Linked DNA regions of Pelodiscus sinensis. The main gene of each other region encodes a partner of the protein of the gene in region 2 in a complex. Links are inferred from orthologs where the notes say so. Each region holds a gene or a part of one and is shown on either strand. Other genes may lie near its edges. The genes, in order: NME1 and ANP32A.

Region 1 (16,274 bases), on a different chromosome or scaffold from region 2:
TAAGGCATCCCTGTCTAGCCTGTTTGTAAGTATCATGATCAAATGTTTATATATGTTTTGTTACTCTTTGGATGTAGTAATTGCTTATTTGTTAGGCTTTTTAGGCATGTGTAAGAGCAATTGTATAAGTACCTTTGCATTTAATAAAGGAATTTATGGTTAAATTAGTGTTTGGTGGTTTCCCACATTAATATTAATCATTTAAAATATTATAAATAATTACAACACAAAGCAAATATAGTTTTTATACATAGATTTATTCTAACCAATTATACAGGTTGTACCTTCCTTAACCGTGACTCTGGTCCAGCAACATCTGTGGTCTGGCAGATGTTCCTGGACCACAGAGCCCAGGTAAAGTTTGTCTCATATGGTGTCTGATCCCGTCCATTTGGGAGAGTTGACAACCTTAAACAATCTACGTGCTGTTGTGAGCTAAAGAAACAGTAACGTGAGCTGAAGGAGGTAACTAGCATAGGTCACAATGGTCCATCTAAAACATTCAGTTGATTTTCCCAATTAGGGATGTAAGAGCGTAGCCATTTAAAATAGGTAACCACTAAACTTATAAGCATGAGTTTATTAGTTACCCAAATGGTTATGCATAATTCCTGGTCTGGCTCCGATGGAGCCAGCTGCCACCCCGCGTAGCTGCCTCTATATCACCTGCGTACCAAGACCATAAGCAGGAAGAAATGCAGAACAGCTCTCGGAGAGACAACTGCTGTCCCGCACTGTTGCCTCTGATACAGAGGCAGCAGTATGGAGCAGCAGGCAAGAGCCAGAACATTCATGGGCACACACCAGCTTCCAGAGAGCTGATTGCTGCCCTGCGTGTAACCACTGACATTTTCAGCAGTTACATGGTTAACCCATTACACACATTGTAACCTCCCTATTTCAAATACGCAACTGTAGCCAAATTACAAAGACCTGCTTCTCAGTTGCAGTATGTTGGTTATTTATGATAATGAACTAGCACATTAGGAACTGGGAGTCTAGCCATAGCAACTCTCCAGGAGGCTGAAAGGTATGTGGATAGTCCTGAACTGCACTACTGAGATCTGTTTATTATTAAAGGAAATCTATCATATGAATGAGTTTAAATACAATGGCTAACATTTTAGAAGGTCATTGATTGGGTTTGTTTAGTTTAGAAAAGAGAAGATTGAGAGGGGACATGATAGTTTTCAGGTATCTAAAAGGGTGTCATGAGGAGGAGGGAGAAAACTTGTTCATCTGGCCCTCTGAGGATAGAACAAGAAGCAATAGGCTTAAACTGCAGCAAGGGAGGTTTAGGTTGGACATTAGGAAAAAGTTCCTAATCGTCAGGGTGGTTAAACACTGGAATAAATTGCCCAGGGAGGTTATGGAATCACCATCTGTGGAGATATTTAGAGCAGGTTAGATAAATGTCTATCAGAGATGGTCTAGTTGGTACTTGGTCCTGCCATGAGGGCAGGGGACTGGACTCGATGACCTCTCGAGGTCCCTTCCAGTCCTAGTATTCTATGAATCTATGATTACTACTGAGACTTAGGCTCCTAAGTGCCAAAGTCACTTTTTCAAAAGTTTATCCAAGCACAGTTTACTTTGCCATTCAAACAACCAAGGAAAGACTCTATCTGAGCTGTCAGTTCTTTGCATGGAAATATAATTCAGTGCTGATGTTCTTGCCAATGTCAAACAAAATGCTATACTAGAGTGAAAGGAGGTAAAGCATACTGAGCGGCCTGTGCGCGTTAATCTTCTTTTCTCATAAAAGAACATTTTATAAAGCTGCCATATTAATCCTCGCTTAAAGAGCTATGCAAATGACTGAGGCTAGGGTGAAAAATTGAGTTTAAAATTACAATCTGGTTAAAATCCTTACTTTCAGAGTAAAGCTGTTGCCTATGTATAACTGAACTGACTTTCTGGAGAGAGAAAATAATTGAACATTTCCCACAGATGTTTATCACAATTTTAAAATCAATTTTTTTGCTTGACTTTACTTCTATATCATTCTTTTACTCCCTGTATTTTGGGTATATTATGGATCTGTTTACATACCAGCATGTGTGTCCTGGTGATTTAACTATGTTTGACAACAAATCTTAAGGCCACTAAGCCATTTTAGATTGTTTGCTAATGGGTATACACCACATTATCCTCTGTGGATACAGAGTATTTCATGGCAGTTTATGCCTCGTGTTTAGTCATTAATTAAAAATCCTCTCCTCTATTGTAATCTCCTTCTCTTCTATATACACACAGAGTTATAAAGCTTCACAAGTAATAATTCAATAGCTTTTTTAATTAGAGCAGCAGTTAATAACACTGGTTACATGTAATATGCACAACACAAATTAGAGATTTCCACCAGTTTATACAGAAGTGCCTTGAAATAATTAAAGGATAGTACCAATAGGAACTATTTCTGGGTCCATAATCATTGGGATGCATGGATGTTAAAAGTCACAGACCATGTTTTTACTCATATATCCACTGATGAGCACAGCTTGTGTATTCAACCAACTCCTCAGGAGTGAACCACAGGTTGATCTCTGTTTCAGCACTTTCTACAGAGTCACTGCCATGAATGATGTTCCTAAGAGAAGAAAAAGAAAAGTCAATTATAGAATTAAAAGCACAAGAATTTTATTTTTAGAAAAACCTCTCTGGTTACCGTGACTACATTTATTAATAAACATACTCATGAATATGACACACAAGCTTCTCTCATCCGTGTTGATAGTGGGGGACGGAGAAGGAAAACCCCATCTCTATTTATATCCTTTGCCTCCAGTCCTAGATAATCTAGTGGAGGTGAACCCCTGCATCTGGATGAAGTTATTGGGGGAAGGGGTCTTCCTACATATAATCACTTTGCAGAGTAGGGGCCTTAACGCTCTTAAATATTTTTCAGTGGTTAGTAAGTTTTTGTTACCAATTGTTATATAACAAAATTCATTCCATTTTAACATTTTAAAATGTATGTTATCAAATGACACTCATGTTTATCAGGACATCCTGATAGAAAGGACCAGGAGGCAAGTCATCATGCAGAGAGCTTATTAGTTCTCATAAAATAAGTAGGGTTATATGTCAGTACTCAAATGGGAAACCTCCATGAAAAAAAGTTGAGGGGCTGTAGAAAGTATTTCAGTCTTTGTCTATACGTCTTTACTATAACATTGATCAAATTCCAATATTTACATTCTGCTGCTTGAATTTTTCTACAGTTTCAAGTTGTTCTAGTTTTCACGTCCCCAAACTTAATTATAAAACAATGAACTAAGTAAGTCATCAGCATTAAAAATTGGCTTTGTCTTATCAAAACTATTTCAGAACATACCTGCCAACTTGAACACAGAAGTCACCACGGATGGTACCAGGTTTGGAATCTGCTGGATTAGTTTCTCCTAGCATTACTCTGCCAGTCTTAACCACATTAAGACCTTCCCACACCTTAAAAATAAAATAAATCCATTACGATTACAGAATCCAAACTGTAACTAACACAGTGAGAGTTGGCAAAGTTATTCAACTTGATCCCATTACCGGGTGGGTGTTAAGTCCCCCTTTTCAAAGAATTTGTAAGCAAGGCATTGAAGGATTGGAGTGAAACTGTCTCCAAGAAGCTATTGTAATTTCTGCTGACTGCTAGCCAAAGCATGAGGGTACTACTGAACAGATTTACGTGTAACAAACAGGTAAGCATCCCATTTCAAAATTTCTTAAACTCATAAAATCTCACAGGGATCTCATAGCGAGGTGAGCCTATACCTCTAAAGTATTTAAGTCCAAGATATGTTCCAAAAAACTTGGACTTATAGCAACACAACTTATAGCAGGGAATTTTTCCCCATGGCTGATTTCCATTTGCGCTATTATTATTATTTATTATTATTTTGCACATGCCTTAAGAGCAGGGAATAGGAAGACTTACAACACATCAGCTCCTACAAACATCAACAACTTTAGTGAAGAATGGATGTATACAGGGGCAACTCATAGCGGAGATTCTTTAAAAAAAGGTCACATTTACCTAGTTTAGTCTATGATTTTGCAGTGTAAATCTGAAATACAAGATTTCTCTACTTGAAACATTAAATATTTCACTGTTCTTTTTTCCAGTTGCTTATTTTGTGAATGTGACAGCACTTTTTGCAGTCAGTTTACCACTGTTCACATCCCCTGCTGCTTGGCACATTGCAATAGGAAAAAAGAAACTATTAAAAAAAAGTTAAAGGGAAACATTTGTACATGAAACTACATTTACAGGTAGTATCATTTTCAATATGTAACAAAGTTATGAAACAAGACACATCAACTTTTTAGTTTTTCTTAAGCCAGTTTAAAAGTTTACCATAGCTACAACAGGTCCAGAGTGCATATATTTAACCAAACCAGCATAGAATGGCCGATCTTTCAGATCAATGTAATGTTCTTTCAGAAGGTCTTCAGAGGCCTGCAAAAAAAAGGTAATTTACTCTAAGAACTTAAGAGCATCTTTAAATCACAAGAGATTAACCACAGAGCACTATTAATCCTTAAACAGGCATGCGCTTTAAAAATTAGTGCTTTTAGCAACTGGCTAGATGTGTTATGTTTATATGAATTTAAAATATAAATTAACTCAGCAAGATTGTTTCAGCAGTATCCAATTGAGAAGAAATCAATTTTTGCTGTAGATGTACAACAGATGCCTATTAAGTGTAAATGGCACCTATAAGAATATTCTCCTCAGACTAAGGCATCATCTTACTAAAATTAGGTTGCTTGGGATGTCAAAACCATTTAACTACAGCTGAATGATAGAAAGTCTCCAAAAATATCCAGACATAAAATTTGACATTTGATATTTCTAAAATTTCATTTAAAAATATTACAATAGATATTTCACGGAGTGAAGTACACCAGCCTGCTCTAAATATGATTACATTCTATACATAAAGGATAAATAAAGAAACGAGGGAAACTCACATGTATTAATTTCATGGCCACTAATTTGAAACCCTTCTGTTCAAATCTTTTGATGATTTCTCCCACTATTCCCCGCTGGACTCCATCAGGCTTGATGGTAATGAAAGTGCGCTCGGAAATGGATGCCATCGTCCTACAAGACAGGAGAAAGAGAATCCATATTCCAGGACTAGAGGGCAAATGCAGCCACAACAGAAATCTAGAAGGCATAGACACTATCTGCCACAACCTTATTGTGCTTTGAATTAGTCTCATAGCTGATATCACCTAAATTAACTCATTAAGCTGCAACTTGCACTGATCAAGTAAACCATACAAATATCCAGAAAGTGCTACTAAAAAAAAGAAAGAAAAAAAAGAAATGTCATGTAATAGTCCTACAAATATTGAGGAGAATTTGAAGAACAATTAGTCCATAGCAAGAACACAGAAATGTTATATTAAGTGATGATTACAGGATGGTATGGCAGATGTATTCCAAACTGCACTCTGATACCATGCTACCCTCAATTTAGGATAAAACAGACTAAATTAAAACCCTATGTATCTATATCTACAGCCAATCAATGCAGTAATGAAGTATGTTAAGAATGTGTGTGGGGAATGAAAGCTAAGAAAGTCACACTGGAGTATCTAGAGTGCCATTTTGAGAAGCACACACTACACAATTACCCAGGTCTGCAACGATTTTAACATGTAAAGCCAACAATTAAGCATTTTTCAGGAATGAAAACACATCTCTACTTAAAACAATTGCAGTAGGGTGGTAACACAATCCCCAACTATCAGTTTAGCATAGAATGAATAATTGGAGAAACAAGCCAGCTATTCCAGAGCAATACCAAACAACCTAAGAGGGGTAAAATACAAAAAAAGGCACACACAAAAATTCAACATCTAATAATAATGCTCCCCCTTCCAACAGCCCAGAACAGATGGCAACCAGCAGACAAACGCGCAGAAGCTTAATTACAATTCCCTTCCCTTATGTGAACCTTGATTGTCTCACTTGGTGGCTCAGGCGCCCCTTCTTACTTCCACTCCCCACCAGCCCCTCTTCTCTCAATAACTGCATACGTGCCCCCGCCCCATGCAAGCCCCTCAGCTCACCCCTCCCGGCGGCCGCCCCCTCACCTGCCTGCCTGCAGTCTGCGGGTCGGGTGGTAGCTGCGGCAACACCGCCGCTGCCACCCAGCTCGGAACACGCCTCCTGGCCGCCCCCACGTGCTCCAGCGCACGCCGGCTGCCAGCTGGGTCCCCCCACGGGGATGCTATCTCGGGGCGCGCACACGCCGTGGCGGGGGTGGGCTGAGATGACGCTCGAGTCCGACGCCAGGGAGCCCAGCGACTCTCCCTCGCCCGGGGAATGGGCGGCGCTCTTGCAACGCGAGGCCATCGCTGTGGCAGAGGAGGGAGGCTGGTGCACCGCGTGGTGCGCCTCGCTGCAGCCAGCCCCAGAGAGTTCCCAGCAGGGCAGCGTGTAGCTTGGAATGGGACCAGAGAGGGCGAGGGCAGTGGGTGCGGGGACCAACCTGAGGTGACCAGATGTCCTGATGTTCTAGGATCAGTCCCATTATGAGGGGCTTTTTCTTCGGTGCCTATTCCCCTCCATCATCCCCTGTCCTGATTTTTCACACAATCTAGCTAGCCGCCCCGTGCTCTGCCAGTCACACACATAACGGCGCTTTTTATGATCTGCTATCCAGCCCTCCTGACCCACCTCCGTCCTAAGGTGAGCGCACTTCTCCCAGAGCAAGGGTGTCTTTTCACTCGTTGTGGAGCATTAAAATAACAGCAAAAGCTGTTTGTCTACTACAGTGAAAGTGTCCTGCAGTTGCATATAGAGGAAATGGTAGGACGTAGATACCAGGGTCCTGCCTGCAGGTGCCTATTGACAATAGGGTTGTTGGGGCCCTTCCCACCATTTAACTACAATTAGTGTATGGGAAATCTGCTCTGGCTGAACAGCCACACCTAAGCCAAGGCACACTCACTTTTTCATAGACTTCCCACCCAATTTTTCAACTTCAAGGGTCCACAGTGGTTTGGCAAAGCGGTTGCGCTGTCCTAGGCAGAGACCTTCTACCTTCTTACATTCTCTAGCTAGCTACTTATCTCCAAATCCAGTTCAAAGTATGTTTTCAAGTCTCTGCATTTCCAGCAACTAGGATTTTGCTGCAGTGTTAGGCTGTTGACTCATATTTAGCTTGTGGTTCACTATAACCTCCAGATCACTTTTGGCAAAACTCCCTCCTAGGCAGTCATTTCCCATTTTGTATGTGTGCAATGGATTGTTCTTTCCTAAGTGGAGTACTGTATATTTGTCCTTATGGAATTTCACTCTATGCAGGGGCGGCCCGTGAACCCAGGCAAACTAGGCAGTTGCCCGATGATGATGTCACGACCATTGATGCCTGTGAAGGTGAGGGCACCGATCGCACATTCCGCCTAGGGCGCCAGCTGCCTCAGCCGGCCTCAGGCCGCTCCTGACTCTGTATTTCAGACAATTTCTCCAGTTTGTCTAGGTCATTTTGAATTTTAATCCTATCCTCCAAAGCACACATATCCCTTCCCATGTTGGTATTGTCTGCAAACTTTCAGTGTACTTTTTATGCCATTATCTAAATTATCAATGAAGATATTGAACAGAACTGAAACCAAAACTTATCCCTTCTAGCTTGACTGTAATAACTACTCTCTGAGATCTGTGAAATAAATTAGTAAACTTCTGCACTTCTATCATATCATGTTTAGGCATCCCTCACCTATATATTTATCTCTCATTTCACTTCATTATTTTATATATACCTTATCTTTGTAATCTCCCTTTCCAATTGCATAGTATTAGCTTCCTGACCTTGTCCTGTTCTGATCCTTTCACTGTTCTTCCCTAGAACCCTTTTATTTATGCCTTGACCTTTTGCCTTTAATCCATTAATTGGATTTTTATTTCAAGCACCTTTTTATTTTCCTGTGGATGCCCTTGATCTTTTTTTTAATCTGACCTTTAACCCCATCTCATTTCCTGGTATGCTTTCTTGTTTCCTTCGACATAAAATGTACATCTAATGAAGTATTTTCAAGTCCTCAACCTCTGATTTTCCAGTTTCTTTGCAGTGGGGATGCCAGGAAATTTCACATTTCTAATCTATTTACTCCTTGTTTTCAACCCTTTAATAACTGCCCTGTATGGAATTTATTTTTTCCACTCTCCTTTATACAGAAAACCTTTAAGTACATTTGTTTTGATAGTTATATCTAATTGGTAATTACATCAAGTCCCATAAACCAACGAGTTTGTCAAATCAGACATGCACAAAGCCAGAATTTTTCCCTTTGACAGATTCAATTCCCGTTTACCAGGCAATTTTAAAGCCCAGGCAATCAAGTTACAAACATCTCTTACTGGTATTCTCACAGCTCACAAGCTGAAATATGCTTGCAGTCAAGCAATGCTCAGAGAATTTCTAACTGTATCTTTGCAACTAGTTATCTACAAATCAACATAAAGCAAGGCACATCAGCACAAACAGGAAATGGCTTTTGGAAAGCAATTTTTATTCTTTTAACTTCTTGGGGCAGAATCTATTTCTCATGAAGTATGAAGTACATGGAAAGTAACTAGCACATTGTGGATTTTATACAAACAATCTATTTCTATACTATAATTTCTATACTATAATTTCCTCTGAATATATTTTTAAACTATATGCATATAATTGAACTTTATTGTGTATGTGTGGGTATGTATATATACATCCCTAGCGTGCAATTTTAAAGTTTTATAAGGCTTTATACAAATTTTATAAACTAGTCATTGTTCCATATATCTTTCTGTTAGACATTAATTTACATCTTGTTTTTTTAGTATTTGTTTTTAAGTTAATATTTTCCTTACTGCTGAATCTCATCAGTCATAGCAACAGGTGAGAATTTCTATGCAAAGCATAGACATGGTAGCACAGAGAAAGAGAAATTAATAGTTCCCTAAACATAATGCTACGTCTACAGTGGCATGATCTTGCACAAGAACTCTTTTGTGGAAGAGTTCTTATGCAAAAACTCTTCCAGAAGAGAGCGTCTACACTGGCATGTGCGTTTGCGCAAGAGATGTTCTTTTGCGCAAGAGCATCCATGCCAGTGTAGACGCTCTCTTGCGCAAGAAAGCTCTGATGGCCATTTTAACCATAGGGCTTTCTTGCTAGAGAACAGTTGCACAAGAGGGCTTATTCCTGAGCGGGAGCATCATAGTTCTTGTGCAAGAAGCACTGATTTCACACATTAGAACGTCAGTGTACTTGCACAAGAACTCGTGGCCAGTGTAGACAGGCAGCAAGTTTTTGCACAAAAGCAGTTGCTTTTGCGCAAGATCGCGCCAATGTAGACACAGCCAATGATTTTTTAAGTCAGTAGACACAGAAAGTTATATGGAATCCAATTGTCCAAAGGTACTTTATTATCAAAGTCTTATTAATTTAAGCCTTCCTCTTAAATGAATCAGTATACCTTTTCAGATACAAAAACACTACCTGTAGACATCCCACAGTTGGATAGTACATCAGTACTTCAGTTGTTTGAGCTAACATCTCATTTCCTGCTATTGTTTTTGCCTCCAGCACTAATTGAGCAATAGAATAAATTATAATATATGAGGTCCCAAGTTTCTTCCATTTCCAATATGCTCTGCTATAAAGGGATGTAAATGGGCAGGCTTTCACTTTCCTTCTTTTAGAGGAAAAAGCTTCTTCCCCATGTTGCCCTGAATCTATTTCTGAGAGTGAGGCAAGCTTTCTAAGATCTACTTCCTGATTTTTCTTGATAGAAAAGTTACTTAGGCTTGACTTTCTTCTCTCAAGACCTTAGCTACAATCTGGGATAAAGTTAGCATTTTCAACGACAAGGACTTTTAATGTTTTCCTCTATGACAATTTAGTCTGACACCAAAGCACATCTATGTTTATTTCTGGTTATAATGGACCAAATGTAGGTCTGATGTAAATAGATGTATTTCACTGGTGGGCCTGTATTCGCATTGTAGGATTATTAGTATGCAGTTCTCTTTTTTTCTGGTTTCACCATGGCTGTGATCTGCTAAATTTTCCTGTGTTTATAATTTATTTCAAGATACTACAAAATATAAAGTCCTGCACTTTCCAACATATTTATCTTTAAAGTATTTTTGACCTAGTATTTCTGAATGTTTTACTTGTATCCCATTTTGTTATATTCTATATTATTTCACTGCAACTTTATTTAAGACATTTAATATTATTGATATAGATCTTGATCCTACAATCCTTCCTCAGGCAAAACAACAGTGAAATTCAAAGTACCATATCTGCAAGGAATGGGTGGCAAAAGAGGTATTCTGTCAGTGCACTTGACTATATATCATCAAACAGAATTTTTTAAAAAAGAAAACATGATTTAGTGATTAAAGCACAGGGCCTGCCATGAGAACTGAGTTATATTTCTATCTTTATCACAGACTTGCTGTGTGATCTGTGCCAAATCATTTAAGCTCATTAAACCAGGGTTATCTTAGCCACTTCTGTGACTAATCCATGATTAGCACAACATGTTGAGCAATATATAGTATACAACATGCTATAAAAGTCTGCTGTATTTATAATTATAATATACTGAACCAGCACATTTCCCCCTGATTACAATGTTTTCATTGTGTTTTAAGTAAGAATTCAATTACATAATGAATCCAAATAAGAGAGACAGTAGCTCTCTGGAAAGAGCTGGTGGTGGGACAAGAGGAGAAGAGAGGAAGAAGTGAAGGTGGGGCAGGATGGTCACCCCATAGGATGGTGAATTAACAGCACATAAAGTGAAAGTGTGATACAGAGGTCTCCAAGATATAATAATGGACTGTTGGTCTAATTGTTTAAAGTCTCTTGTATGCCACCTAGCACAGTGTGACATTTTAGGAGACAGACCTTAACCCAAAGTTCTGAAAGTGAACACCATCCATACTCCCCTCAGTCTTTAGGGGAGTTCAGGTCTGGATCCTAAGTTCATGACCCTGGCCACAACTTTATAGTAGTCTGAGCTAAAAGTCTACATTGGTACAACTCTAAATATTGGGAAAGTTCCAGTCTGGGTACAAACCTTGTAGCTTGGATCTACATCTTCTTGTAACTAGACTTACGACTATGCAACTCCACTGACCTGGTGTATTTAAACATACACAATACACAAGTATTAAGTGCAGTAATGTTCAGAAGCAGGACAAATGAAAGTACAGTATAAGCCTCTGCTGCTCTCTGGTGGAAATTAATGGAACAGCCATTAGTTAGATTTCAACTAAGTGATAAGCCCTTTCATTTTTTCTTTACTAGTTTGATAGACTTTGTTACCTAATACCTTAGCAATATAAACAGTATGGTGATATAGTTCATTATAGCATTAAAAGTCAGAGAAAGCCAGTAGCTCATAGAAATCCACAGAAAATTTCCATGGTGGCATTCTCTGAAACAATTTTGAAACAGCCGATGAAAATTGTGGAATATGGAGTATCTAACATCTTTTCAAGTCTATGTTTCTCTGTTTCCATCTCTAATGTTAAAATAGTATAGAAATTAGCCCAGATTATTCATATATGAATATAATATGTCTAAAGAGGAGCTTATCATTTCATATTTTAGGTATCTTTAATGATAAAACCTCATGATAAGAGATTAGCAAAATCCTTGAACTAAGCACTGGGCTGAGAACCACAAGCTTCTGAAATCTATTGCCAACTCTGTCACTGAGGTTATGTCTAGACTGCAAGCTTCTTTTGGAAGAAGCTTTTCCGGAAGAGATCTTCCGGAAAAGCTTATTTTGAAAGAAAGCATCCACAAGCAAAAGGGGAATGGAAAAGCGATGTGCTTTTTCGAAAGATAGCATCCACATTGATTGGATGCTATCTTGCATTTAAGTTGTGATTAGTCTGGATGGAGTGGCAACCAGAGCACCTGTGTAATTTTCTGGAGGCCTCTTCGTTCGAAATAACTCCCTTTTCTGTATCCACACACGCCTATTTCCAAAAAAACTTTTTTGGAAAAAGGCTTCTTCCTCGCAGAATGAGATTTACCGCCATCAGAAAAACCCCTCTGTTCTTTCAATTTTCTGTCAAAAGAACTCAGTGGCAGTGTGGACATAAGTATTGTTTTTCCAGAAAAAACAGCAGTTTCTCTGGAAAAAAACTGCAGTGTAGACGCACCCTGACTCACTATGTGACCTTAAGCAAGTCATGTAACCCTCTTTGACCTTCAATATCTTCCTACATAATTAATGGATAAAATCCTTGCTTGCTTCTCCAGCATTTTCTGAGATTTTCCTAATTTACGTGTGTATAATAATGTATTATTATCACCACAATTAAAGAGCAATTGATCAACCTGCTTAAGTCCAAAATTTGACTTGCCTTCATCTTGTTATGATCTGGAGAAAAACTTATTCCAGGTTTATATTTTATATCCTCAAAAGTCTGTTTGCGTAGGATTTTCTTGGCATAAATTTAGACTATATATCAGTGTTTCCTCAACCTTTTTAATACCAGGGACCATCTTGCTGCCTTCCTAAATTGTATCTGGGAGGTCTCAGGGATGAGCGCCAGTCCACAGACTGGTTATGGAAAAACACTGACCTATATGACCCTTGTGGTCCTTTCCAACACTATAGTTCTATGATTATATGGATCTGCTTCTGCATAGCCAGCAGAGGGCCCTCAGACTGAAGTATAAACAACACCATTGATGCAGATGGCAGCAGTGCACATGCTAGAAAGAAACACACAAATGACCTTATTAACTGAAACTCTTGAAGGACTTACTGATTTAAAGAATGTACAGTGAATGAAACTTTTTCCACCAACTAATAAATTGTGACAAATACTAATAAATCCTATTTCAGAAAATGCATTCATCTGAGCTTCGCCAGGCACCCTGCTGTCCTAATGCTGTCTCAAATGCATTATAAAATCACAGAACTGGAAGCAGAACCATCGGACAGTTCCAAGCAGCTGTCTCAGCCCCCGCACTTTGGGGGTCCTGTGGGGCCCAGGACAGCCTAGGTGATTACCAGAGGCGATGCCAATATTTAAAAAGGGCTCTAGAGGTGATCCCGGCAATTACAGACCGGTAAGTCTAACATCAGTACCGGGCAAATTTCTTGAAACTATAGTAAAAGAATAAAATTGTCAGACATGAAGATGAACATAATTTATTGGGGAAATTCAACATGGTTTCTGTCAAGGGAAATCATGCCTTACTAATCTGCTAGAGTTCTTTGAGGGGGGTCAACAAACATGTGGACAAAGGGGATCCAGTGAATATAATGTACTTAGATTTCCAGAAAGCCTTTGACAAGGTTCCTCACCAATACCTCTTAAGTAAAGTCATTTGTCATGGCATAAGAGGGAAGCTCCTTTCATAGTCTGGTAACTGGTTAAAAGACAGGAAACAAAGGGTAGGAATAAATGGTAAGTTTTCCGAGTGGAGAGAGGTAACTAGTGGAGTCCCCCAAGGGTCTGTCCTGGGACCAATCCTATTCAATTTATTTATAAATGATCTAGAGAAAGGGGTAAACAGTGACGTGGCAAAATTTGCAAATGATATGAAACTGCTCAAGATAGTTAAGACCAAAGCAGACTGTGAAGAGATTCAAAAAGATTTCACTAAACTAAGTGATTGGGCAACAAAATGGCAAATGAAATTTCATGTTGATAAATGTAAAGTAATGCACATTGGAAAAAACAACAACAATTATACATACAATATGATGGGGACAAATTTAGCTATAACTACTTAAGAAAGAGATCTTGGAGTCATTGTGGCTAGTTCTCTGAAAACATCCACTCAGTGTGCAGCAGCATTCAAAGTAGCAAACAGAATGTTAGAAATCATTTAAAAAAAAGGGGATACAGAATAAGACAGAAAATGTCTTATTACCCCTATATAAAATCATGGTACACCTTATCTTGAATACTGCATTTAGATGTGGTTGCCTCATCTCCAAAAAGATAAATTGGCACTGCAAAAGGTGCAGAAAAGGGCAACAAAAATAATGAGGGGTTTGGATCAGGTCCCGTATGAAGAGAGATTAAAAAGACTTGGATTTTTCATTTTAGAAAAGAAGAGACTAAGGGGGGATATGATAGAGGGCTATAAAATCCTGACTGATGTGGAAAAAGTGAATAAGGAAAAGTTATTTACTTATTCCCACAATATAAGAACTAGGGGGTCACCAAATGAAGTTAATAGGCAGCAGGTTTAAAACAAACAAAAGGAAGTTTTTCTTCACTTAGTGCACAGTCAACCTGTGGAACTCCTTGCCAAGGGATGTGAAGACTAGGACTTTAACAGGGTTCAAAAAAGAGCTAGATAGATTCATGGAGGTTAGGTCCATCAATGATTATTAGCCAGGATGGGTAGGAATGGAGTCCCTAGCCTCTGTTTGTCTGGAAATGCATAACAGGACAGGGATCACGTGAGGATTAACTGTTGTGTTCCCTTCCATCTGGTATTGACCATTGTTCGCAGACAGGATACTGGGCTAGATGGACCTTTGGTCTGACCCAGTATGGCCGTTCTTATATTCAGAGGGCCTGGTGCAACATCAGGGGTTGGACCCGCCCCTACACTCACTAACCGTGGCAGAAGCCATGGGAAGTGGAGCAATACAGACCTAGTCTGTTCCATTCCACCCCACCATACTCCAACTGGGTTGCTTTGCGGAAGCGGAGCGACATGGCTGGGAGCTGAGCTTGAGGGAACTGAGCAGGATGGGGCTGGATTGCTTCGCCTCCCTCTGTCATGGTGAGTGTGGGGTGGGTCCAATATCTGCTCCCGCCGCCAGGGAGTAATCTCCTGGGTTGCATCACTTGGGAAGGGGATTTGCAGGAGGGGGTGCAATGGGGGCAGGAAAGTGTGGAGCAAAGGTGGGAAGGGGCAGGAGCAGGCCTCAGGCAGATTTTTGTTCCAGGCCCTATAATCCCCTAGAGGTAGAAATGATTGGAAAGGACCTGACTCAGGTTAGGACTAAATATTATCTAGACCCGTGGTGTCCAAACAGTTCTGAAGCAGTTGCCACTGTAACTATAGCAAACTAGCCATACTCAACTGGCCAAATAGCTACATATGGCTAGTGGTGAACTTGTTGGACACCACGGAGCTAGACCATCCCTCCCAGGTGTTTGTCTAACTTGCTTTTCAAAATCTCCAATGACTAAGATTCCACAACCTTCCTAGACAGTTAATGCCAGTGCTTATTTACCCTGAGAAATAGGAAGTTTTTCCTATTGCCCAAACTAACAGTCTTTGCTGCAATTTAAGTTTACTGCTTCTTGTCCTATCCTCAGAGGTTATGAATAGGGCCCTTCCAAATTCACAGCCATGCAAAATGCGTCACGGACCATGAAATCTGGTCTGCCTCATGAATCTCGGTGTTTTTGTGCTTGTGTGCTTTTACTCTATAATACACCATAACTTCTGCCCTGCCTTCAGAGTGGGGTGATCAGAGAGAGGTGGTTATTGGCTGGGTACCCAGCTCTGTAGGCAGCACCCCAATAGCAGAAGTGCAGATGTAAGTGTGGTAATAGTATACCATGACACTCTTACCTTTGTGCTAATGCCTTCAGAGCTGGGTGGTCAGAGAGTGACAGGTGCTGGCCAAGGGCCCAGTTCTGAAGGCAGTAGCATAGAAGTAATGGTGACAAAACCACACCATGCCATCCTTACTTCCCTATAACTACAATGTGAAAAATCAAATTTAAATATCTAAAATCATGAAATCATGACATTTATTGTTTAAAATATCACATGACCATGAAATTGACCAAAATGGACCATGAATTTGATAGTTATGAAGAACAATTTTTCTTTCTCTTCCTTGTAACAACCTTTAATGGACTTGAAACCTGTTATTATGTATGCTGGGGGCCCAGGCTTCTACAGACTATACAAACTTAGTTATTCTTCAGTCTTCCCTGATAGATCATGTTTCCTAGACCTTTAATCATTTTTGTTGCTCTTTTTGGGACTTACTTTAATTTTTCTACATTATTTCAGCTGAGGCCATGCAGAGTCGAGTGAAAGAATTACTTCTTGGCTACGTTTAGACTGGCATGATTTTCCGCAAATGCTTTTTAATGAAAAAGTTTTTCTGTTAAAAGCACTTGTGGAAAAGAGCGTCTAGATTGGCACGGATTCTTTTCTGCAAAAGCACTTTTTGCAGAAAAGCGTCCGTGCCAATCTAGATGCGGTTTTGCGCAAGAAAGCCCCAATCGCCATTTTCGCGATTGGGGCTTTTTT
Region 2 (16,892 bases):
GGTCTAGAGAACATGACCTATGAAGCCAGGCTTCATGAACTGGGCTTGTTTAGTTTGGAAAAAAGAAGATTAAGGGGGGACATGATAGCGGTTTTCAAATATCTAAAAGGGTGTCACAAGGAGGAAGGAGAAAATTTGTTCCTCTTGGTTTCTGAGGACAGGACAAGGAATAATGGGCTTAAAGTGCAGCAGGGGAGGTTTAGATTGGACATTAGGAAAAAATTCCTAACTGTCAGGGTGGTCAAATATTGGAATAAATTGCCAAGGGAGGTGGTGGAATCTCCCTCTCTGGAGATATTTAAGAACAGGTTAGATAGATATCTGTCAGGGATGGTGTAGGTGGAGCTTGGTCCTGCCTTGAGGGCGGGGGGCTGGACTCGATGGCCTCTCGAGGTCCCTTCCAGTCCTATTATTCTATGATTCTATGATTCTATACCTGTTTCCAATATCAGCTGTTCCTGGTCAAACAACTTACTCATAGAACCCTGTGCAAATACAGTTATGGACACAAATTTTGTATCTGCAAAAATGAGCCCTGACCTGTGGATATATAGCAGATAGCCGTAGATTCGCGGGGCTCTACTTATTCACCTTAATACAACACCACTTCTGGAGATCCAGTGGTATAGGTGCAGAGATGTATAGTTCAAATCAACATTTTTGAGAATTTAGCAGAATACCAGCAGGTCAGAAATCCAGAGAGGCTGCTAGAACAGTTCGAATGCCTTTCATTTTTGTATTTGTTCAGTACAGGAAAGGTCTTTAAAGAGACACCAACTTAAGCCATTTACTATCATTACAATGAAAAGAGTAACATAGTGAGGAAAAATTAAATCTTAACGTTTACCTTCTGTATTTCACAGGAATTACAAATAGTCATTATCAACTGTTTTCCCTTTTGTTTGGGTAGGTTGGCCATAACACAAAAGAGAAGAACAGACATAAATGAAATTAAACAGATGTTTTTGGGTTGGGGAGTCCAGAGTCGTGAAAAAAACTGAAGTAAACTTTCAACTTTTATTTTAGTTGACCTAAGTTCAAGTTAACAGTGCCTCTTTTAGACCAATCATGAAGTGTTTGGACTCAAGTAATCCACAACCGAATGTAAAAATGTAAGCATAAACAACAACAAACATAAGCATAAAAAAGGCATTTTAGCACAATTTCAAAAACCTATACAAGGTCTATGTTGCATAGCCAGCCAGAACCGGAATACTGATAATTTGCTTTACAGCTGTTGTATTTAGCTAACAAATTAGGCTGTTTACAATACAAATAAACAGGAGTGCCCAAAAATCTGCCCACAAAAGCTTCTACTAGTTCATTAATTACAGTGCCTTCTGATGGCTCTGTAGTAACCTATGAGATAATCTGTTCTAATTCCAAGTGTACAGGTCTTTACATCAGAAGACTCCAAGGGTAGATACGAGCTTAGATGTGTACATGTTAGGGATGTAAAATCCCATTTAATTAGTTAACTGATTAAACTTTATGCTTAACCAGTTAATCATGGATGGAGGCTGCTCTGCCCCAGCTGGAGCACCCCCACCCGTGGGGGACCTGCAGGGCTGGAGCAGCCCCCTGCTCACGGTGGGTGCAGCGGGTAGGAGGGCTTCTCCGGCCGCTGCCAGTTAGCGGTAACCTGTTACGGGTGAGGCTTACCGGTTAACCATTCACATCCCTAGTATGTGCATGGCATATGAAGAACCTTCTCAACATGAAACACAGTGGGGGGGGGCGGGGGGAGAGAGAAAAGTCCAATAGAAAAACTACACAGCCATCAACAGTACAATACATAGGAAAAATAATTTCAGGTATTGTACTATCAATCTGGCACCTTTCACCAGCACTAAATTCAAATTAAAACAAACACAAAGAAAAGGGGTGCTGGAGAAAATCGGGCCCCTGTGCATTCCACCTTAAATACACTTGCAATATGTGCTTTTGTTAATTAATATGTATACCAAACCTGCAGGATTATAAGATTTAACCGCTCAGAGTAACCAGCTCTGTTACATGGTATTAAGCAGCATTTCAAACAAGAATGATAGTACATCACTCTAAAGCCTGCAGAACATTACCATAAACCCACAAAAGTAATGAAATTCTGGTACACTGCTTCACCACTGCTCTTGATTTGCAAAACCCTAACCCTGTCAAGATGAACAACACAGCCTGTGGTGTGGATACCAAAGCACAAATGGCTCAGCTGCAGTTCAATTGACTTAGAAAAAATTGGCCTTCTTTACAAAACCAGAGTCGGTTTCTTTTAATGGCCAGACACTGTTAAAATATGGATTATGATGCAAATATGTACTGCCGCTTACTGAAGATACTGCATCATCTTAACCTATGTAAAACTCCCAGACTAATGAACTATCTCATTTAATTTCACTGGTCTGTCTATACTGAAATACACAATCTGCACCAAGTTGTGGATGGAACAAGCAATCATTACTTTTAAAATTCAGTCTGCCCCTCTAGTTAGTGCCCAAAGGCACAGAGTCAAGAAATCAGATTTCAAGGGATAGTCTGAAGAGTGGCAAGCCCCCCCATTGTAAATTTTATTACTCCCCGACATGAGGATGTGCTGGCCTCGCTACTGTGTCCCCTTTGGATCTGGCTGGTAAAAACCGCAATATCGACAAGTATCGTTCTCCCAATCGTATTTACAATACATTTGCATAATGAAATCTGGAACAGTTTTGATTATCGCCTTTGCATGGGAGAGTTCATTCAGAACCAAAGAAAAAAAGACTTGAAACAGGTGACAGCAGGTACCAAGTTAGATAAGGAACACTTTATGACTGACCATATGGGGCAGGTGAAACAAAAAACAGGACTGTGTAGCACTTTAAAGACTACATTTCTACCATATGGGACAGGGTGTCTTTACCCACCAAAGATCAAGTTATGCAAGTGCAAAGAAACACTGTCCCAATCAAAGAAAGTCTCTTCGTGTTACTTTCCTAAACCAAAAACCCAGCAGGGAGGGAAGTAAACCACATTCGGCTTAACACTCCTGTCGCCAAAACGTGCCGTGCAGCACTCTGGAGAAATTTTTTACCGCCAGCATCCTTGTTAAAAATGGTGATGGTGGTGGTGGGGAAGATAAACCTCAAGCGGCGCTAAACGGTTACTGCTACATAATCCACAGGGGGGGGGGAAAACCCTCAAGACCTACCTTCCCGCAGGGCCCTGCCCAGGAACAAGGCATATTCCCGACTCATCCATATCGCGGCTGCAGCCGGCAGTGAGTGTATCGCCATCCGGAACCCACTGTGCATGCGACCTGCTAGGTCTGCTCGCTTCTTCCAGCTCCCGCGCAGCAGCTCGGGTGGGAAACGGGACAAGGCACAAGCCCAGGCTGGGCGCCAGGCCCAGCCCGCGCCGGCGCCGAGCGGAACGGGGCGATGCAGCCAGGCGCTCCTGGCGAGCGTGCGACCGGCCTTCCAGTCTCCCCCGAACGTTCGTCACCGCCCCGCGGAACGCTCGCGAACACAACGTTCCATTTCGAGACGCCAAGGTTCCATTTAAAGATACAGGCTCCCGAGTCCGCGCTCCCCAAGAGCCGTTTGTGCAGGGGAACAAGCGAGCACTCCCCTTTGCACAGACACGCACCCATACATGCCCGCCTCCCTCCCTGAAGACCCCTCCCCGGCCACATCAGCCCCACTGCAGCAGGATTCGGGTTCGAACACGCCGTTAGTCGTGCCTGGCTGGGAATCGGACTATAAGATTGTTATCTTCTTTAAAAACAACCTTCTCCCCTCCCCCCTCTGTGACAAAACAGTGACAAAATGGCAGACCTGAATGCTGGCAGTCATGTTACACACACACAGAGCGAGCCCTCCGTGCGCCCTCATTGCTTCCGTCAGCCGCCCTAACCGCCACCATTCCACCTCTTCGACCTGCCCTCGAACAAAACACGAAGCATTTCTCCTCCCCACCGAATAATCATTAATAGGAAACTGCAGACCTATGAAAGCTTCTCATTTTAGGTTGTAACACGCATTACCATTTAAAGCAACCCCCCTCAAGTCCCTCCAGAATTTCACAAGGAATGTTTGCTAACTGCACCGCTGGTGGCTTTAAGAATTCCCTCCTTTGGGGTGTTCGCACGGATCCTAAAGCATAAATCGCCTTGGTTTCATACCCCAGCCTTTTTCTCCTTTGCAGCTCGATGGAAAAAACATGGCGTCTTGTCCTACTTCAGGTTTAGTGTGGCGCTGCCAACGCGAGGATACAAAGTTGGGAATGATTTCATGGGGTGGAGGGAGGGAGGAATATTTCAGCTCCCCGGCAGAGATGTAGGGACAGAGGCCCCTCATTAGGAAGCTCCTCCGTTTGCTCTTTGTCCTCTTTGCAGGGCTCTCACAAACAAGCCCTCTTGTACTGAGCTAGCTGGCACATACACGCGGTGCAACACAAGGGAGCACGAGCAGCCCCGCTCATGCAGCAACCTGCACGCACACACACGCGCACACACACACACACACCACACAGCACTTTGTATTAATAGGTGTTGCTGCTCAGATACAAGGGAAGGTGTCTGACCCACTAGCCAGCTCCATACACACTCCCTCCCTCCCCCCTCAATACTTTTTAAAGTTTAAAGCGAAGGTTACGTAAATCCGCCCAGCTTTGTCCGTCAGACATTTTACTGGCGACAGGAAAAGTGCGGGGCAGTTTTCCCCCTGTCCCCCTGGGATACTTTTGATTTCTGGAAAGGTATGTGTTTATTCACTCCTATCTACGTCCAGCGCCTTTCAAAGCTGTCTGGTCTGCAAGAGGGAAACCGAGCCGGAGAACACCTCCCCTTCCCCGCAAATAAACTTAGTATTTAAGCCATTATATAATGCCCTCTTCGGTCTTGGCTTCTAAAAATCCATGGCCACATGTGTGGGATCGGTTGTTTTGGAGGGGAGGGTTTCCCCCAGAGACTGGCTTTTTACTGTGTGTTAATTGCACTAAAACTTCCCAAGGTAGGAAAAGGCACTTGCAACGATCCCATGCACCGATGATTAAGGAGGAGAGACCTCCGGTCACCTTTGCGCAGCACAAAACACCAAATTCCCATCGCAAGAGAACACCCACACCCACCCCTACACAGAAGCAACCTTAATTTCTCCTTGGGTGCATTTGGCAAGAGGTTAGGGGGTCTGCCCAAGTTGGGTGACCCCCACCCCTCTCGCCTTTCGATTGCTATCGCTGCGGTAACAGTAAGAGACAAACAGAAAAAGGAGGAGAGGTAACTAGGTTTTCTCTTGTCTGCATAATTTGTGCCCAACCAGCCACGGTCTATTTTTGTCCTGACAAACTTTCTTGTTCTCGTTTATTCAGTCAGACGCTGAACAACAACCTAAGTCCAGCCCCAAGGAAAAAAAAAAACATCCAGCCTTTTTGTGTGTGTGTGGATGGAGAGAGGGTGGAGAGTGGATTTATTGGGGCATTTTTTAAAAATTAAAAGCTTGCGATATTGTCAGCTGGCTCCGATTTTTAAAACCACTGAAGGTTTGCTTAAAAATCCTATTTTTTGTCTTCTCAGCATCTGGAGAGAGGGAGAGAGAGAAAGGGCGCGTTCATGAGGACTACAAAGTTACAAATATGGCTCCCCAGTCTCTCTTGCCTGATCACTGCAAAGAAATGAAGACGCACTTTAAACTAAACCATTTTCAACTCCCTCACGCTCCCTCCCTGCCCAACACTCCGTGCAAATATTTGCCAACAAAACCAGCCAGCGAGAGCCACCAACTTATTTTCATTTAATGCCTTGCAAGCTCCTTGAATGCATTTCACACCAGCAGACTCGGGAGCAGCTTAGTTTTCCCCTAGACCATAACGCGTGCGCCTTTGGGCACCCCAATTTAGGTGCACGGAGACATCCACACACCGGTAGGCACCTCAAGGACAACAGCGGCTTGAGCAGCCGCTGGCACGGGCGTTCCCTATTCCAGCTGCACCCCTACATTTTCTAATCATTTTAATGCACCCCCCAAAATGTGGGATGGATTTTTTTTTTGCATTGCTTACATCTGAGGGCGTCCTGTTCCGCAGCTCTAAGTGGATCCTTTTCTTCATGTCCATGTCCCTGGTTAGCAGGAGTCTCTCGCTTTGCTCAGCTCCTCTTTTGTATTGACACCACTGAAGACCCCCCCAAAGCCAGCGCGGTGAGGGACTTTGAGAGCTCAACCAGCTCCGCTTGGAATCCCGAGCCCCAGCACCGCGGCTAACACTAACCTGATAACAGCGGAGGCGGGCACTCCCGGGGCCTCCGCCGCGATTGACAGTGGGCTCGGCCAACCGCGACGCGGCAGCTGGCGGCTGGAGCCAATGGGGCGGGCACAGCGCGGCGGGAGCCAATGGGCGAGCGGCGGAGCCGGCCAGGGGACAGCCCGAGCGCGAGCGGAGGCTCAGTCGCTGCTGGTGGCTGATGGGGCAGGAGCGGCGGCGGCTCCGCGGTGGGATGGGGGCGCAGCGCTTTCCCGCCACGTTCGCCCCGCGCCGGGGGGCGGCGCCCTGGGGCAGCGGCCGGGCCCGAGGGGGAGGGGCGCGGCGCCCTGAGGGGCGGCGGGGAGAGAAATGGCGCGCGGGCCGCCGGGGGGAGGGGCCGCGGGGCCGAGGGCGGCACGTGGGACTGAGGGTGGGGTCGGGGGTGCGCGGACGGGGCGGTGGGGCGGGCTCTGGGGGGTTGGGGTGCGTGGGGGGGGGGCTGAGGTTGGGGGGGGCTCTGGGGGGTTGGGGTGCGTGGGGGGGCTGAGGTTGGGGGGGCTCAGGGGGGTTGGGGTGCGTGGGGGGGCTGAGGTTGGGGGGCTCGGGGGGTTGGGGTGCGTGGAGGGGGCTGAGGTTGGGGGGGCTCGGGGGGTTGGGGTGCGTGGAGGGGGCTGAGGTTGGGGGGGGCTCGGGGGGTTGGGGTGCGTGGAGGGGGCTGAGGTTGGGGGGGGCTCGGGGGGTTGGGGTGCGTGGAGGGGGCTGAGGTTGGGGGGGGCTCGGGGGGTTGGGGTGCGTGGAGGGGGCTGAGGTTGGGGGGGTTGGGGTGCATGGAGGGGGCTAAGGTTGGGGGGGGCTCAGGGGGGTTGGGGTGCGTGGAGGGGGCTGAGGTTTTGGGGGGGTTGGGGTGCATGGAGGGGGCTGAGGTTTTGGGGGGGTTGGGGTGCATGGAGGGGGCTGAGGTTTTGGGGGGCTCGGGGGGTTGGGGTGCATGGAGGGGGCTGAGGTTTTGGGGGGGCTCGGGGGGTTGGGGTGCATGGAGGGGGCTAAGGTTGGGGAGCTCGGGGGGTTAGGGTGCATGGAGGGGACTGAGGTGGGGGGCTCACGGGGGTTGGGGTGCGTGGAGGGGGCTGAGGTTTTGGGGGGTTGGGGTGCGTGGAGGGGGCTGAGGTTTTGGGGGGTTGGGGTGCATGGAGGGGGCTGAGGTTTTGGGGGGCTCGGGGGGTTGGGGTGCATGGGGGCTGTAGGGGAGCAGGGTGGGATTGGGGTGCATGGAGGGGGTTGAGGTTTTGGGAGGCTGTAGGTGGAGCTAGGTGGGGTTGAGGTTTTGGGGGGCTGTAGGGGAGCTGGGTGGGGTTGTGGTGCATGGAGGGGGCTGTAGGAGGAGCTGGGTGGGGTTGGGGTGCATGGAGGGGGTTGAGGTTTTGGGGGGCTGTAGGCGGAGCTAGGTGGGGTTGGGGTGCATGGAGGGGGCTGTAGGAGGAGCTGGGTGGGGTTGGGGTGCATGGAGGGGGTTGAGGTTTGGGGGGCTGTAGGGGGAGCTCAGTGGGGTTAGGGTGCATGGAGGGGGCTGAGGTTTTGGGGGACGGAGCAGGGTGGGGTTGGGGTGCATGGAGAGGGCTGAGGTTTTGGGGGGCTGTAGGAAAGGGTGGGGTTGGGGTGCACAGAGGGGACAGGGTTTGGGGGGGCTGTAGGGTGAGCTCTGGGGTCAGGTGTACAGAGGGGGTTTGAGGTTTTGGGGGACTGTAGGGGAGCTGGTTGTGTTTTGGGTGCACCGAGGGTACAGGGCTGTAGGGGAGCAGGGTGGGGTTGGGATGCATGGAGGGGACAGGGTTTGGGGTGCTGTAGAGGAGCTGGGTGGAGTTGGGGTGCACAAAGGCAGACGGGGTTAGAGGGCTGTAGGGGGAGATGAGTGGGGTTGGGGTGCATGAAGGCGGATGGTTTGCGGGGCTGTAGGGAGAGCTCAGTGGGGTCGGGTGTACGGAGGGGGTCTGAGGTATTCGGGAGCTGTAGGGGATCTGGGTGGGGCTGGGGTGCATGGAGGTGGACAGAGTTTGGGGGACTGTAAGGGAGCTGAGTGGGGTTAGGGTTCACGGAGGGGGACAGAGTTTGGGGGAATACGGGGAGCTCGGTGGAGTTGGGTGCACGGAGGGGGTCTGAGGTTTTGGGGAGCTGGGTGGGGCTGGGGTGCACAGAAGGGGGCTGAGTTTGGGGGACTAGCGGAGCTGAGTGGGGTCCAGGTGCATGGGAGGGGGACAGGGTTTTGGGGGGGGTTTAGGGGAAGCTCAGCAGGGTCAGGGGTGCACAGAGAGGGACTGAGGATTTGGGGAGCTGGGTGGGGTCGGGTGTGCGGAGGAAGGCTGAGGGTTTGGAGGGCTGAAGGGGGAGTTGGGTTGGGGTGCATGGAGGGGCTCTGAGGGTTTGGGGGATCGGAGGGGGAGCCCAGTGGGATTGGGTGCATGAAGGGAGGCTGTGGGGGGGAGTTGGAGGGGTCAGGGTACATGGAGGAGGTTTGGGGGGCTGGGAGGGGTCGGGTCCGTGGAGGGAGATTGAGGGTTCAGAGGGATGTAGGGTGGCCTGGGAGGGGTTGGTGCATGGAGGGGGACTGTGGGTTTGGGGGAGGTGAGGGCTGTTGGTCACAGTGTATGGTGCAGGAGGAAGAATGGGGGGAAATGGGGTGGGTGGAGGCCAAGCGCCATTGGTGGGTGGTTGGTATGGAGGCCTGTTGGAATGGGGCAGGGCTGCTCACTGAATGTCTGGGATGCAGCCCTGACGTGATCAGGTTCTCTCTGTCCCCACGTAGCTTGGTGGGGAGCTGTGCAGAGGAGCACAGTCTTGGGGCTGCGAGAGACATGGAAGGACCTTTTCCTGTGGTTCCCCCCTCTGGAAGGGATGCGTGCGCCTACGCTGCGGCTGAGCTGCTGCCTCAGCTTGAGAGAGGCTGCCACATCCCAAGTTGCTTCTTATTGTACCTTTTCACTTATCTTTTGTCCCTACTTCCCCAGCTTCCTCCATACCATGCTATACCCTGAGGCTATGTCTACACTGGCGGCTTCTTGCGCAAGAAAACGTCCACAGTGCCATGTGCAAGCTGTGCTTTTGCACAAGAGCGCCCATGGCAGTGTAGAGGCTCGCTTGCGCAAGAAAGCTCTGATGACCATTTTAGCCATAGGACTTTCTTGCACAAGAAACCCCTGCCGAGTATCCACACTGCCCTCTTGCGCAAGAGGGCTTACACCTGTTAAAAAATAGCGTAGCTCGTGCGCAAGAAGCCCTCTCTTACCATGCCGTACTGTAAATCTTCCGCAAGAGAGGGTGGGCAGTGTGTTCGCTCTGCAGATTCTTGCACAAGAACGGCTGTTCTTGCACAAGAACCTGCCAGTGTAGACGTAGCCTGAGACTAAACACAAAGGTATAGGTGAGATAAGTGACTCCCACACACACAACTGGATGGGACCACTTGTCTGTGCAAGCCATGGAAGCTACTAGTTCTGGAGGAAGCATGTTGTGACAAGCGTCAGAGGCTGAAACACCACATGCGTGGAAACAGAATGTGTTATTTGTAAATCAGATCCCAAAAGGGCAGTGTTCTCTTGAGACATCTCTGGGTCCCTGTGAAGACACTTGTGTAGTGTGGTCTTACAATGAAGGACTGTCACAAAGAAGGCCTTGCAGTCTTATTTCAGAATGCTTTGGTGTATCCTGTTGCCAGATTAAGAGGTGAGAGAGGTCTATGGTGCCAAATGCATGTTGGTAAGGCTAACTGTCAAATATTGGTTCCATTGGTATTTAGCTCGCAGTAAAAGACACTCATTGGGTTCTGTATATGAATGGATTTATCAGGGATGGCCATTTTCACTGGGATCAGTGTGCAAGACTCTCAGTCTGGCACTCTTCTCTCTTCCCCACTCTCCCCCCCAAGAAGCATGCAGCCTTATTGAGAACATTATAACAGTCCTTAGGCTAGTTTTAAATGTTCAGAGTTCTGGACAAACACAAATGTCAGGCTAGTTTTTATTACTGAGCTTCATAGGCTCTGAAATAATATGTATTGAACTAGGTAGGCCTGAGAAGCTCTTGGTATAGAGGGATGCTTCATCAGAAGGTTTTAGGCTGGAGGAAACCATATGTTGAAAGCACAAACTTAAAAGCAAAACAGATTGATAGTTAAAAATAAAATTGGCTTGGAAGTGGTCAGAATTATTTCCCCCTCCCCCTCTTTAGAATTCATGTAAGAGTAAAAGCCTGGACTCCTAATTTTTTTCTTGTTCTGCTTATGATTTGATATGACCCTGGAAAAGTCATAAACAAGTTAATGTTTGTAAAGAACTTTAAGAATACTGAATGAAGAAGGATACATAATTTGAATTTTACTTTAAAAGAGGTCAAATCCATTTCCTTCAAACATTGTGAACAAAATTGTCTCTTAGGCTGAGACATTGTGCAAAGTTTAGTCCTTCAGTGAATTTTGAATACTAGGTTATGAGCCTCAAGTTGCTTGTGGAAATAAAAGGATTTAGAACCTTAACTAGATCTATCTGTGCCATATAAATATTTTTTCCAAGGACTGAAAATATATTTTCCTTTTACATAGCAGTTTGAGAGAAGATATAATGAAAAGTGTTATGTAAAAGCTAGGTATTATTACTCCCAAATGATAAAATCATATAAGTACAAACTTGGTTTTGTTAGGTTTGTATTAAGTTCCATCTCTTAAAAATCAATTGAAAATTAACTGCTGTGTAAATGTGATCACATAAAACTTCAGTGAGAAATAAATGAAATTCCTTTTTTTCCTACCTCTTACCACAGGGAGTTCTATAAGTTTTGAAAAGAAGAGCACATAGTTTAATTTTTGACAGTGTCTCCCAACACAGAACAAGTGCCCAAACCTGAAAGAGAGCATATTTTTACAGCTATTCATGCATTTTCAGATTAAAAAGCTAGATCTTCCACTACTGTTAACAAGCAGTTTGGTCACAAAAAGATTTTTATTAGCTTTAAAACAAAAATAAACCAAAGTAAAATCATTTTAAATAGCCTAGCCTTAATAGTAAAAGACTTCATTTGAAGCAAAATTGAACCATAATTGAGTTATTTATTTATATATTTTTGAATATACCTACTGAATCAATTGTCTTATACATTGTCAATTCAGATATATTACTGATCTTGTAGGCTTTTTAGAGAAATTATACACAAATGTATAGCATCTTAATCCTGTAAAGGCAGGAAATTGACATTGTGATCTCATTAATTTTTTGGAAGAGGAAAATATTCCAAAGGTCTTACCAATATATCCTTATTTTCCAGCCCCAAGTGCATCAAGCATTTAATATGATTGTAAGAATTACTGCAGCTAAATATCTAACTATATTCTACTGCTGGAGTACGTGTTTCTAATGGGCTTTTTTTTCCCCCCCAATAACCTTAATCTTAGAGGAACCTACTATTAGAGTCTTAGCACAGGATATCATACACTCAGTAGCGTGAGATTAAAATTTCCAAATAATCCACACATACCTAGCACAAACCATAGCATCCGTGTGCTTTGCAAAATTTAAGTTTTAAATCATAACATACAGGGGGTAAGTAAATCTCATAGATAAAATTTGTCTGTGGTTTGATTTACACAGGTGAATTCCTTGTTATATAGCAAATCAATGACAAAGCTGAGAACGGAGCCTGGGAAGCCTGATTTTAAGTTCCATGTGACAAACAGTGGAATGCATTCTCCAAGAACTATAATTCCAAAAAGTATCTTTTTCAATTATTGCTCAGACTAAATTAAAACTTACCCAAGTCGGTGTGTTGCTTCTGTAGAAACTTACAGGCTTTTGTTCCTCATTCTGTGTGTGATTGCTCAAAGTGATTGCACTGGTGCTGGAAATATTTTCCTTCCACAATATCTGTAGTGGACCAGCTCTAGTGCCCTGGAGTAGTGTGTATATGCCATGGTAAAGAGAGTGCCACCAGTTCCCTCAACCCTCAGTTCCTTCTTGCTGCCTGTGAGGGTGCTTCTTGTTGGACTTTGTTCTTCTAGTTTGTTTTGTAGTTGTTTCGCTCTGTTTTTCATAGTACTGTACTTAGGGACTTGTTAGGATCCCCGTTGGGACTCAGCAAGTCCTTCAAGCTCGGGACAAAGTAGTAAAGAGACATTTGGCTCAAAAGCCCTTACGGAGTTTGCACTCGCCCCAGTGACAAAGCAGCACTCTTACTCAGCGCCAGGAACCATGACTTCAGTGCTCCAGTGGTACCATCTACCAGCTGGCACTGTTCCCTTTCTGCGGCTCCAGTGAAAAAGATGGAGAGGAAGATCTGTTTCCCATAAGGGGAAGGACAAGCCTTGGGAAGATCAAGGTTCCATACCGGGCACTACTTCACCCACAGCTGAGCTTAAGGGCCACGTCTCAAACTGAGCGGAGTAGTCCAGCCCATTCTCAGTTGGCCACCCTGGACAGAGACAGCTCTGCGTGCCTACAAGCAGCACAGGATGTTATGTACTTGCGCTGCCCACGCCAGTCTTCATGGGACCTTGGGCTTGGTGTAAACCCACTGGGATCACCGCAGTCGCTGCTGAGGCAGCATTTCCCGTCATGGCAGATGTCACGCCAAAGATTGCCCTCTGAGTCACACATGTGACCAGGACAGGCAGAAGTTTCTCTGCCCAGCGTGGTCCCTGGATTGGGAGCAGGGTAGAGAGGATCAAAGCGAGGCTTGGTGGTGGTAAGATGCAGACTTTGTGAGGCATGTGTGCCTGCCCTCCCCCAGCAGGAATACCGGAGAGAACATAGAGAATCTCTGTGACCCCAGTACTGATCAAAGGACAGATCGACTGGGTACCTGTACGCTTCCTCAGACCGGTGCGGATCTCCCAGGTCAACTTCACTGCAACTTGCATTTCTGCAGTGCCAAGCCTGGTCTTCCTCCCGGATCCACTTGCTCTTCTGACACTGGTGAACATTGGGTCAGTTACTGGCTACCACTGATCTGCAAGCCTGCTCTTCAGGTGTTCCTCAGAATCACACAGGTCTGCCTCCTTTAGGAGAGGGGCACTGATGGGAGAGGAGCTATAGTTCAACCTACTTTTGGTCACGGTAGCGACTGCTCTGCTATCCTTGCTTTAGAACAAGGTTTCCCTACCTGCAAGAGAGGCTCGGGGGTGGTGGTTCAGCCGGCATTGTGGGGTCCGTGGCCACAAACTACGGCACACACAGTGGTTCTCAAATCCGTGGAGTTTCTCTGAGCCCACTCACTAACTGGAACTTTGGAGTAGACCAGAAGCTTCCCTCTGCCAGCACCAAAAGCCTTGGTGGTGGGCACTCTGCTGGCCCCAGAAAGCCTCGATGGATACACCTGGTTTGCAGAACTGACCACCACTAAACTCTATGGTCTCAAGGATTCCTATACAACCCTGGAGATATTAGACCTCTATGTCCTTGTCCCTTCCTCCAATCAGTTTAAGCCACAGCCTTCCCAGGGTCAAGGGAGACACTCCTGTCGAGCCACTCCAGAGAAAATCTAAGGGATGTTCAGGTCAACAGTCCTAGCCTTTCACACAGCTAGGGGTATAAAAACCCATTAAAATAGTTAACTGGTTAAACGATTAAAATTATATTGTTTAACTGGTTAAATATCACACCGTGGGCAGGAGCCTGCCACGCCAGGTGAGAGAGCTGCCCCGGCCAGGTCGATTAGCTAGTTACTGCAGGGGTGACCAACCCATTAAACGAAGAGAGCTGAAACAGTGGCGGAAGAAATGCGAAGAGCCGCACCAGAATTGTTGAGCAAAGAAAGGAAGAGCTCCCCATCAGCAGAGTTGTTGAGCAAAAAACAATGCTGCCCCTTTAAAAATCGCGGGTTAGGCTTTTTGGCCACATCAGGCTCCTGTCGGCCAATGCCATTTTGCCATGCCGGACGGCTTCCCTGCAACCATTGAGCACAGAGTGTGAGGGAGGCTTCGTGAGCTGCACTGTCAGGAGTGAAGAGCCGCATGCAGCTTGCGAGCCATGTATTGGCCACCTCTGAGTTATTGGGTAAGCAGGCTGAGAAGCCTGCTGCTGACTGGGTGCCAAGTTAACTTCTTACATCCCTACACACAACCAGACTCAGCCTGTTCCAGATAATCGTGCAGGTGCCCAAGGCTGATGTACCAAACAGTTTCCCAGGACCTTCCTCCTTTTGTTTGCTCACTGTTTGCTGCCCTTTCTTCCAGCTTCAGAGGCCATAGTAGCAGACCAGTGGTTTACTTCCAGAGGCCAGGAACATGCTGGCAGATGACTTCAGCAGAAACTTTTTCCATCTCATTACAGGTGGGCACTCCATCTGGAGGTTTCTTCTGCCTTCCTCCTGCCTTGGATGGGAGACTGCTGATCCCGCCAGTAAACAAGGTCCTGCTCAAGATTAAGCAAAACAAAGCTCAGATGATCTTGATTGCCCTTGGTGGGTTGAGCCAGCATTGGTTTGGCACCCTACTGAGTTTGCCAGTGCTCCCCCTATAGCCCTTGCTGAATCGTCTGGATCTGTTGTCCCAGGATCACGGCTACCCATTACTTTCCAGGCTCCTGTTACTCCACTTCATAGTGTGGCTGCTGCGTGGCTAAATCCAGAGGAACAGTCCGAAGCAGAAGGGTGCAACAAGCCCTCGGAAGTTGGAAGCTCATAACCAGACAGATGTACCTGGTGAACTGGACCAGATTTTCCTATTTGCTGCTGAGTGGGGCATTTTCCTCTTCCATACTTCCTTATAGGCCATATTGGATTACTTCATCTTAAAAATCAAAGTGAATTTGCTGGCTATCTCCACCTTCTATCTGCTGATCCAAGGCAGGTCTATATTCTCAAAGGACATGACTGCTAGGCTCCTAAAGGGCCTCTAGACACTTTTCCCCATTCCACTGGGGGACCTCAAACTAGTCCTCTAGGCTCGCGGAGCCACACTTTAACCCTTTTGCCTCATGCTTTTTGTCAGACCTATCCCGGAAGGAAGCTTTATTGATGGCGGTTACTTCATGCGGTGGGTCTTCAAGTTGCATGCCTTAATGTTGGAACAGTCCCACATGGCCTTTCATAAGAATCAAGTATAGCTTCGACGCCACCAGGTGGTGCCCACGATGGTTTCTACTTTCCACATAAGCAAGGCTATCTTTCTACTGGGCTTCTGCCCTAAACCTCATAAGGCCAAGAAAGAAAGGCGCATGTCCTGGATGTGAAGAGGACCTTGGCATTTTATTTGGACTGGACAAAACTTTTCCTGATGTCTTCCCAACTCTTCATCCCATTGGCTGAAAGGATAAAGGGTCTGTGAGAACCCATGCAGAGGATTTTGAACAGGATATGGGCTTAAGAGCTGGCAGGAGTCCTGTTGCCACCGGGCACACTCGACCAGCACGCAGGCCTCTTCGGCAGCCCTCCTGGTTCATGTTCCAATCCAAGACACCTGTAAGGCCTTTAGATGGTCATCAGGACACATGTTCATTACCCACTATGCTATCACTCCACAGGCCAATAGGGATGTCTTTATTATGTTAATAACCAATTGTTGTTGCAAAATGATTGACCAAATAGTTCATCTATAAGAAGAGTGTGTGTGTGTGTGTGTGTGTGTGTGTGTGTGTGTGTGTGTGTGTGTGTGTGTGTGTGTGTGTGTGTGTGTGTGTTTATACACACACGGATAATGGTGATCGCTAATTTGGCTCCTGAACCATTGAGATCACTGTGCTAGCTCATCGCAAAGATGTAGGCCAGCTCATCATTTTAATCTTTGGCATTGTTTCTTTGTGATGTCATGCAGCTGACTGTGTACATGCCTGTATTCAGTGTATTGGCCTTTGTGTATTTGGTTTACAAGTGCCATGTGGTGGTGTGGTTTGATTTGTGCTTCTACCCCCTTTAGATAAACATTCATTTTTCTTTGGGACATGAGCATTGTGCTGGGTGCTCTGGATTGTGAGTGCTTTCTTTATACCCATAGTTCCCAAACATTTTGATACCGGGCACTGGCAAACCCATTCACAAACTTTTGGCGGCCTGCTAACACTTTATTTCCACATTCATAAATTGCATAATGAATATGCAAATAAGGTGTTACTGGTCCACCAAAAGCCCAGCCCCTAGTGCCAGCCTTAACCCCGAACCCCACCCCTCCACTGTCCCCCAGCAGCAGTCACTGACTCCAGAGTCTCCTGCACCCAACGCCCCCCAGTGCCAGCCTCCCTCCCTCAGTCCGACAGTGCCAGCCTTGCCCCCATAGTCTCTTCTCTTCCCCCTCCCCTCCGCTACTAGCCCAACTTCCAGAGCCCCCCCAGCACTAGCTCTGACCCCAGAGCCCCACTGCTTGCCCTGTCCACCCTCACCTGGCCCAGCGGCTCTGGGGTCCTTGGCTGGCGTAAACCACCCAGCGTTTCCCCCCCTTTGTGGCTGTTGGGAGAGGCATGTTCTGCCCCGCCTCTCACCCAACCAGCACCAGGTGGGGGTGGGGTTTCTTCTCGGCCGGGGAAGAGCGCTTCCCTGCGTGGCAGGAGGGAAGTGCTCTTCCACAGCCAGGAAGAGGCCCACGGCCCACTGTTCGGGAACTGCTGCATTACACCCTATCAAACTAGGATTAAGGGATGCACTCTGACTCCAGTGTTCTGAATGCTGTTTGGCATGCCTTGTATAATAATATCTCAGCCACTGGCCAA

What was found.
Region 1: ANP32A (region 2) and NME1 share a complex: the UniProt entries of both Homo sapiens proteins name them as parts of the SET complex. The link is inferred for Pelodiscus sinensis from reciprocal best matches to the Homo sapiens genes ANP32A and NME1.

The regions. Positions count from the first base shown.
Region 1 is NC_134730.1:15,290,096-15,306,369, reverse strand, and holds NME1 (nucleoside diphosphate kinase A), read right to left. Parts: upstream 6,322-16,274; 5' UTR 6,107-6,321; exon of another isoform or gene 6,103-6,106; intron 6,002-6,102; exon of another isoform or gene 5,978-6,001; intron 5,102-5,977; 5' UTR 5,098-5,101; coding exon 4,969-5,097; intron 4,454-4,968; coding exon 4,352-4,453; intron 3,451-4,351; coding exon 3,338-3,450; intron 2,591-3,337; coding exon 2,473-2,590; 3' UTR 2,276-2,472; downstream 1-2,275. UniProt on the Homo sapiens protein: Major role in the synthesis of nucleoside triphosphates other than ATP. The ATP gamma phosphate is transferred to the NDP beta phosphate via a ping-pong mechanism, using a phosphorylated active-site intermediate.
Region 2 is NC_134724.1:2,508,464-2,525,355, reverse strand, and holds the start of ANP32A (acidic leucine-rich nuclear phosphoprotein 32 family member A), read right to left. Parts: upstream 6,235-16,892; 5' UTR 6,088-6,234; coding exon 6,034-6,087; intron 4,037-6,033; exon of another isoform or gene 4,022-4,036; coding exon of another isoform or gene 4,019-4,021; intron 3,928-4,018; exon of another isoform or gene 3,828-3,927; coding exon of another isoform or gene 3,810-3,827; intron 3,364-3,809; exon of another isoform or gene 3,218-3,363; coding exon of another isoform or gene 3,185-3,217; intron 1-3,184. UniProt on the Homo sapiens protein: Multifunctional protein that is involved in the regulation of many processes including tumor suppression, apoptosis, cell cycle progression or transcription. Promotes apoptosis by favouring the activation of caspase-9/CASP9 and allowing apoptosome formation.